Linked DNA regions of Oryctolagus cuniculus. The protein of the gene in region 1 interacts with the protein of each later gene in a pairwise test. Links are inferred from orthologs where the notes say so. Each region holds a gene or a part of one and is shown on either strand. Other genes may lie near its edges.

Region 1 (4,624 bases):
TGGTGGGGTTGGAAAGGACCTCACAGGATAAGCTTGACTCCATGCTGTTCTCCGGAGAGGTGTGCAGTGCCTCTGGAAGCAACTGTGGTACCACTCAGGGAAAGCATATCACAGGCAAAGAGATTCTGATTTCTCCATTTGGAAAGTTTGCTTCTGTAAAAAAAAAAAAAATCAAGTTGATGTCAAATGCTGTCATGCAAATAAAACAAAAGCTAAGAGCATGCTTAGAAAAACCTTAGGGATTTTATGTAAATCTCTGCAATTCTCCCCATGAACCCGTAGAACTCCAAACAACCCCTGTGGAAAGGCGTATCCACGTGCTGTAAGGCGTGCACATTGTTTCAGGTATCCGGGTGCTTTCCATAAGAAACCCATAGATTTCTGACTGCCTTTCTAATCTACCTAACATAGCGACCCGACGGAGGAATCACGCGGCTGCTTTGGCTGCAAGCTCCAGGAGTTCTCTCCGGAGACCACACCCGACGCCTGAGGCTGGCCGCCGCAGCTTCCCTATGAAAATCAGCCACCTGCATGGCCTTTCGAAATCATCAGGTTGGGTGTTACACAGGTGTACAAAGCGGGCAAGGGGGCTTTTAATAGGAGGGAGTCGGTAGTGTCAAGTCCACGAAGCAGGGATTTAGCTCGGGGAAGTTCCAGCCAGGCAGCCTGAAGTCAGTTGCCCGCCGTAGAGCGAGCCGCCGCCTAGCAAGCGGGTCTTCTCCTTGGTAGCGTCACTCTTCCTCTGCTTCCCTCCGTCTACCCGCGTCGTCAACACACCGAAAGCCTCCAAGGCTTTCTTCCCCACAAAGAAGAAAATTTAGGAAGCCAGAGGCAGTGCCCTACAGCTTTAGAAATGATAAAAGGTAACACCTGCAATGCACGCCGCAATCGCGCACGTGTGTAGGTAGGGGGGCAGAACCCTGTGGGCTGAGAAGCAGCCCACCAACTCCGGGGGTCAGGGGGCCCAGGAGAAAGGTAGATTAATTAAAGAAAGTGCCAGAAAAACTGCAAAGAAACGCGAAACTTTCCTCGCTAAATGCCGCATACGTGCAACCACAGCCTATTCTCCTCTCAAACCACTAGCGACACTGCACCGTCGCCATAAACACTAAGTGGGGAAGAGGGGTGATCAAAGAGGTCCCTGGTGGGAAGCGGTGGGCTGCGGGCCAGGGTCTCCGAGAGGTACCGGGTTATGGAAAACTAAGTTGTCAGTGGGCGGCGAGAACCAATGGCTGGGGATACTTGAGCATCTGAGTGATACGTGGGTCCCGGGGTAAGCAGGCTGCGGCTGGCTGGGTGGGAAAGGACAGGACACAGGTGCGGGGATATAGGGTCTCAGAGAACAGAAAGGGCCTCAGAGAAAAGTGCAAAGGAGAAGAGCCGCAGCTCAGCGGCCCCGCGCCGCCGCCCCCGCCCTCCGTTTTGCGCAGAATCCTCCCCTTGGCTGCAGCAGCGCGCTGCCCCCACTGGCCGGCGCGCCGGGATCGATCGCAGGCTGCGTCAGAAGCCTCGCGGCGTATAAATAGGGGTGGCAGGACGGCGCCGAGCCGCACACAGCCATCCATCCTCTCCTTTCCCTCTCTCCCCCGTCCTTCTTTCTCTCTCCAGGCCCCATCTCCGGCCGCGGGCCAGAGGGGCACCGGCCGCCACCATGAGTTCGTTCAGCTACGAGCCGTACTACTCGACCTCCTACAAGCGGCGCTACGTGGAGACGCCCCGGGTGCACATCTCCAGCGTGCGCAGCGGCTACAGCACCGCGCGCTCCGCTTACTCCAGCTACTCGGCACCGGTCTCCTCCTCGCTGTCCGTGCGCCGCAGCTACTCCTCCAGCTCCGGCTCCTTGATGCCCAGCCTGGAAAACCTCGACCTGAGCCAGGTAGCCGCCATCAGCAACGACCTCAAGTCGATCCGCACGCAGGAGAAGGCGCAGCTGCAGGACCTGAACGACCGCTTCGCTAGCTTCATCGAGCGCGTGCACGAGCTGGAGCAGCAGAACAAGGTCCTGGAAGCCGAGCTGCTGGTGCTGCGCCAGAAGCACTCGGAGCCGTCCCGCTTCCGGGCGCTGTACGAGCAGGAGATCCGCGACCTGCGCCTGGCTGCCGAAGACGCCACCAACGAGAAGCAGGCGCTCCAGGGCGAGCGCGAAGGGCTGGAGGAGACCCTTCGCAACCTGCAGGCGCGCTATGAGGAAGAGGTGCTGAGCCGGGAGGACGCCGAAGGCAGGCTGATGGAGGCGCGCAAAGGCGCTGACGAGGCGGCACTCGCTCGCGCTGAGCTGGAGAAGCGCATCGACAGCCTGATGGACGAAATCGCCTTTCTGAAGAAAGTGCACGAAGAGGAGATCGCCGAGCTGCAGGCGCAGATCCAGTACGCTCAGATCTCCGTGGAGATGGACGTGTCCTCCAAGCCCGACCTCTCCGCCGCCCTCAAGGACATCCGTGCACAGTACGAGAAGCTGGCCGCCAAGAACATGCAGAACGCCGAAGAGTGGTTCAAGAGCCGCTTCACCGTGCTGACCGAGAGCGCCGCCAAGAACACCGACGCCGTGCGCGCAGCCAAGGACGAGGTGTCCGAGAGCCGCCGCCTGCTCAAGGCCAAGACCCTGGAGATCGAAGCATGCCGGGGCATGAACGAAGCGCTGGAGAAGCAGCTGCAGGAGCTGGAAGACAAGCAGAACGCCGACATCAGTGCTATGCAGGTGCGGCCTGGTGCGAAACACGGCGGGGGCGGGGACCTGCAGAATGCGGGGGTCGGGGCAGGGGGAGAGTTGAAGCTGCGCCCAAAAAGTGGAGACCAGGGCTGGTAGGGGTCGCACTGTGCTCCCAGGGGACGGTGTGGGAGGGGCGGGGCCCTTGGGTGGGGCGGGGCCGCTACTGCAGTCTGGGTGTGTGAGTGGTGCAGTGGAGTCTGAGTTCCGCATTGAAGCTGCCCAGCGTGGGAGGGGTCAGGCGGGGGCGGGGGAGAGGTGGGAGTAGGGCGTTGCCCTGGCCTGCAGGGATGTCGGGCCATCTACCTACCTGCATTCACCTGAAGTTACTTTGCAACACCAGTGGGATCACCTGGTTAATAACCATAGCGAGTAAGTCTTAATTAGTCCCGAAAGGTTACTGTGGCCAGTATATTTTATGACTGGTTAAGTACCAGCTACTCCTCCCCTTAGCAGGTGGACAGGAACCCAGACAGATTTGTCTTGGGTAACTAGCTGGGGAGCAGAAATATAGGAAATATTTTAGAGAAAGTATAAGCAATTTAGCTACTTCCTTCTCTTATGAAGAAATGGATGAATTTTCTGGATTGTGACCTGGCTAAAGTGGAGTTAACCCATAAATGAGAATCCAGCCTTTTCTGTCAAGTTAGTTTCCATGCAGGCATATTCTGATGCTCCTTAGATTGTACTAGTTGAGGATATTGTCTTAAAGGAATGTTCTTTCTTTAGTTTTTTTTTTTTCTTCTCATGCTTCATGAAGCTGGATATTTTAGGCGAGAAATATTTTCAAAAAAGAGTGAGCAGCTGTTTTAGGGGAGATTTTTATTAAAGGTGTGCCCCTCGACTCTAACTGAAACTGAGTGTTTGTAACTGAGCTACAGTAAAATGATAGCAGTAGGAATTGATGCTTAGATTTTCTTCTTTTTCTGTCTTCCAACAGGACACGATCAACAAACTAGAAAATGAATTGAGAACCACAAAGAGTGAAATGGCACGATACCTAAAAGAATACCAAGACCTCCTCAATGTGAAGATGGCTTTGGATATTGAGATTGCAGCTTACAGGTAACAACAGAAGGGCAAAGGTAGTAGCCAGAAAGCCTTGGAAGAAAATCAGATGCCATTTAGATCATGTTGAACCAGAAGCCTTCTGCAATAGCCCTCTGAAATGAGATATTATTATGATTAGTTTGCTTCTTCGAAGGAGCAAGTGTTTAGACAAATATCAAAGAACTTTACCCTGTAATATTAAGTCCTGTTTTTAGCTTCTCATTACACTTAAAATCTAATAGAACTATTTAACGTACTTTATTCTGTATCCCCCCACCCCCAGTCTCATTCATAAAATTCCTAGCCATTGGATATTGGTAATTCCCAGCCCTCTCTTGTTTGCATTTGCCTGTAGGATGGCATTGGGAGAACAGATGAGAGGTGGGCTTAGAGCAAGTCATTAAATACACTTCCTAGGTTGTTTTAATTTTAACCCTACCCTCTGTTGGTCTCCCCAGAAAACTCTTGGAAGGTGAGGAGACCCGACTGAGTTTCACCAGTGTGGGCAGCATAACAAGTGGCTACTCCCAGAGCTCCCAGGTCTTCGGCCGGTCTGCCTATGGCGGTTTACAGACCAGCTCCTACTTGATGTCCGCCCGCTCCTTCCCGACCTACTACACCAGCCACGTGCAGGAAGAGCAGATCGAGGTGGAGGAGACCATTGAGGCTGCTAAGGCCGAGGAGGCCAAGGACGAGCCTCCCTCTGAAGGGGAAGCTGAGGAGGAGGAGGAGAAGAAGGAAGAGGGTGAGGAAGAGGAGGGAGCCGAGGAAGAAGAAGGTATGATGAAAAACAAGCCCATGCACCTTCACGTGCAGACTGGGCATGGCTGTTTCTTAGGAGAGGTACAAGGTAAATGAAGTCCTGCT
Region 2 (4,182 bases), on another chromosome or scaffold:
AAACTATAGGTACTTGATTTTGCCTTCCAAAAATATGAGTTACTACACAACTAATTTACAACTAAAATAAAAGTGTATCATAAGTGTAATTTTTTTGCAAGGTCTAAATAAATTATATTAGGGAGATATGCATTTTCAACATTTGTTCCATCTTGAGATTCCAAGAATCAATAAATTAAATTACAGGGTAAATATAGTAAAAATTGAAATGAAAAGTAGAAAATACACATTTAGATCATACTCTGTTTAGTAAAGTTCCCTTTTAGGAACTATAGAAATTCTTTTGGGATATATGAGTACCATTAAGAACAATCTGAAAATAACTGGTTAATGATAAGCTATGTGATTTTTTTTTTTTTTTAAGTTCTACCAACATTAGAGTACCTGCCTTCTACAATGGACATAGCACACAACTTTCATTCTAGTTCACTTGTAATAATTTCATACAGAACCTTGTCAGAAAGCATGAAAAACAAAATTCATGGGGTTAATAATGTCAACTACTGGTGGTTTCAGGAAACTTTCCTTTAAAAAACTGCATACTAACAATTTTTTTTCTATTATCTTTTAAGCCAAGAATTAACAGGAAATTTGCTTTTAAAGAGTGACAGACTTTTCTGTGCAAAAAAAAAAAAGTACAGAAGATGTTGCCTCTTCCCAAACTATGGAATTCTTTTGTAAACTAAAAATTATCTAAAAATTTTAGTAGCAGATAATTAAACTCCTATACAAAGCTATCATACACTATCAGTTGACTGTAAATTCCTGATTTTGATATTAAGTAGTAATTGAAAATGGTCCATTCGTGCAAATTTTTGGTAAGACTTAACATTTAACATACAAAAGTCCAAAATAACCTTCAATATGTTTAATATTTTACAATTTAAAGGAAAACAAATCCATTATATAAATTTCATTCCAACCCATAGCTACATACAAAACCTGTACAGAAGGACTGTGGATTCTATAGAAACTGATGTACATCAATGACACCAATTCTTCTCAACATTATTATTTTCACACCACTATTAACAACATAAACAAAAGTTCAGAAATCATTATTTTTCTGAAGATACAGCGTAAAAAATTTCTAAATATAACCACATTAAACCTGAAAAACAAATTACAACTGCTTCTTACATTTAGCAGCAATGCGTAACAAAACATCTTACTCTTTCCAATGACACCCATGGGTTATGCTATTCCTTCATTAATGAAATTCCTCTTAGGAGACATTTAAAAGAGAACTGAGGATTGAAGAAATTCATTCCACAATCTGAACAAAGTAAAAGCTAATGTCTGTGTATAATAATGAGTATATATATCACTTATAAAGGAGATTGTGTTAATAAGAAAAATGCAGATTCAACTCCTTGAATAGTTCTATAGTATATATTTGAAATATAATGCCACCATTATATCTAAAATTGAGTCTGAAATATGGATAACAAAATTGACCACAGCTATTTCCCATCACATAATGCAGCTTTTAAAAAGTATACAACTGTTAAATTCACATTAGAAATATAGGCAGGTTATCTACTACTTGAAATCCTATATTGTTACTAAGCTGAAAAAAAAATACAAAGAAACCTACATTTTCATTCATTTGGAAAATGTAAAAATTTATGTACTAATATATAATCTCTTCACTTTCTTTGATCTACAAATGGGTAGAATGCCTAGCTATTGTCATGCGGATAAGTTGTTCAGAATTCTATTACCAAAGCAAGCAATAAACAAAAAAACCCTGTCAGTATACACAGATGATCTCTTTAACAGTTCCTATTCTTTAGCAGCCTTGGATGACTTCAAAATTTGCAGCTTTAACTCTTTTATCATCATCTCTAACTTCTGTCTTGCCTCCCGCTCCTGTCTGAGTTCATCTTGGAGTTCTTGCCTATCAGCTTCAGCGTGGTCCAGTCTCTGTCTCAGTTCTGCTAGCTGTGTGATTTAAAAGGCTGTGTCAATATTCATTTAGTTTTGTTTTTCCATTTAATCTTATACCACAGCAAAGACCTACTTTCACATTATGTTTTACAAAACAAACTATTTCATGCATACCACAGTCTTTTAAGTATCTAATACTATTACCTTGACATTCAACATGACATTAAATTGAAGGTAAAGCAAAGGATCAAGAGGAATAAACACCTAAAACACCTACAGCACTTTAATTATTTTCTGTGCATTACTAGATCCTTGTTACAACCTGTTCAAGCTAATATTTGTACATCTTCCCTCAAATGTGAGCAACTATTAACATAAAGGATTTACTTATTTATTTTTGCTTCAGTGCTTTTGAATAGAGTAGGCAACAGTTATTTGTTAATATGTTGATTTGAAAGCATATATTATTAAAATAATATTTGATCATCAGAGAGCTAGATTTACAATTTAAGTAAATAAATTATAGAAATCCAATAAACTTTAAAGTAATAAACCAATAAAAGTCAAAAAATCATCATAGACAATCTAGCATAAAATTGTGTTTAACAGAATTATCTACATTGAAATCTAGCCTAGTGAATGAGCTTGACAAAAAGTAATTTCTTTAACAGAGCAGTAACACTTTCCATTCATGTTGAAAGGGCACATTATACAAACTGAGTAATTCTTACCTGTGCTGCATATTCAGCCTCTTTGTCTTTTTCCAAATTTGAGTCACATGTACATTTTTGCTTCATTACCTGCTCTAATTTTTTCTCTAAGTCCTTCTGTTCAACATAAAATTCTTCCATTCTTTGAGCATGTTCAGTCTGCAAAGATTCAAGTTCTTTCTGCAGATTCTGTTGTTCTTCAGTGAGTTCCCTCATAGCTTTTGAACTACTCAACATTTCCACTTCCTGTAAGTACAGAATCACAATACAATTTTATTTCCATCAGGTTAAAAATTTCAAAAAAAAAAAAACAAAAAAACTTTTAGTTCAGGAAAAAATAAGTCAGAAAATATATAAAATTCGTATTAGTTCTATATATCAACAGTTATATTGAAAAATATCTTCTCTATAAATGTATTAAAATTGCCTATCAGTGTGAAACTGAACAATCTAACATATATTTGCAACATATCTTGACTCCTCTGAGAATGTGCAAAAGTATCTTTTCATAATGAATTATCATTTAAATAACAACTTTACCATCTGAAGTTGTTGCTTCTTTTGCAAAATTGAGTTCAGTTTTTCCTGTTGTTTTACATAAGTCCTCATTACTTCCTCCATGATTTTTCCTTTATCATCTTCACAAACGACATCTTTGACAAGGAGTGGAGATGATTCTGCAGTATCATGGCCAATTCCCAACTTGTTTGTGTCTCTGACTAAGTGGCAAGTGGTAGAGTCAGATTTCTTTTTACTCACAGAACTATGTAAGATTGATGGATCTTTGAGAGGGAAAAAAAAATCAAGTAACAAAGAATAAATATCACTGTGTTAAAAAGTCACTGGAAGAATCCAGGAATGCTATTAACAAGACAATTCCATTCAAAAATTAAATCAACAAGAATAAAATACTTAGGAATAAGTTTAACAAAAGTAGTTAAACATGTACAATAGCAACAACAAAACATCAAAGAAAGATGTGAATACATAAAAAGACAGTCCATGTTAACAGATTGGAAGACTAAGTATTTTTTTTCTATTTGACAGGTAGAGTTATAGACAGTGAGAAGGAGAGACAGAGAGAAAGGTCTTCCTTACGTTGGTTCACTCCCCAAATGGCCGCTACGGCCAGCACTACGCCAATCTGAAACCAGGAGCCAGGTGCTTCCTCCTGGTCTCCCATGCGGGTGCAGGGGCCCAAGCACTTGGGCCATCCTCCACTGCACTCCCGGGCCACAGCAGAGAGCTGGACTGGAAGAGGAACAACTGGGACTAGAACCCGGCACCCATATGGGATGCCAGTGCCACAGGAGGAGGATTAACCAAGTAAGCCACAGTGCCGGCCCCCAGAAGACTAAGTATTTTTAAGATAATAATATTCCCCAAATTGATCCATATGTTCAGTGCAATCTCCATTAAAATCCCAGCTGGTTTTCTGGCAGAAATTGATAAGCTGATTCTAAAATTCATATGGAAATACAAAGACTCCAAAATAGACAAAAAATCCTGAAAAAGAATTAATAATTTCCAATGTTAAAGCTTGCTACAGATATCAAGTCCATTGTGTAGTACTCACATAAGG

Evidence for each region.
Region 2: the proteins of NEFL (region 1) and SKIL interact in binary tests that used the Homo sapiens proteins (3 or more experiments, as listed by UniProt). The link is inferred for Oryctolagus cuniculus from reciprocal best matches to the Homo sapiens genes NEFL and SKIL.

Annotation. Positions count from the first base shown.
Region 1 is NC_091433.1:49,227,996-49,232,619, forward strand, and holds the start of NEFL (neurofilament light polypeptide), read left to right. Parts: upstream 1-1,515; 5' UTR 1,516-1,651; coding exon 1,652-2,698; intron 2,699-3,647; coding exon 3,648-3,772; intron 3,773-4,215; coding exon 4,216-4,535; intron 4,536-4,624. UniProt on the Homo sapiens protein: Neurofilaments usually contain three intermediate filament proteins: NEFL, NEFM, and NEFH which are involved in the maintenance of neuronal caliber.
Region 2 is NC_091435.1:109,896,394-109,900,575, forward strand, and holds part of SKIL (ski-like protein), read right to left. Parts: intron 3,383-4,182; coding exon 3,141-3,382; intron 2,847-3,140; coding exon 2,622-2,846; intron 1,945-2,621; coding exon 1,786-1,944; 3' UTR 1-1,785. UniProt on the Homo sapiens protein: May have regulatory role in cell division or differentiation in response to extracellular signals.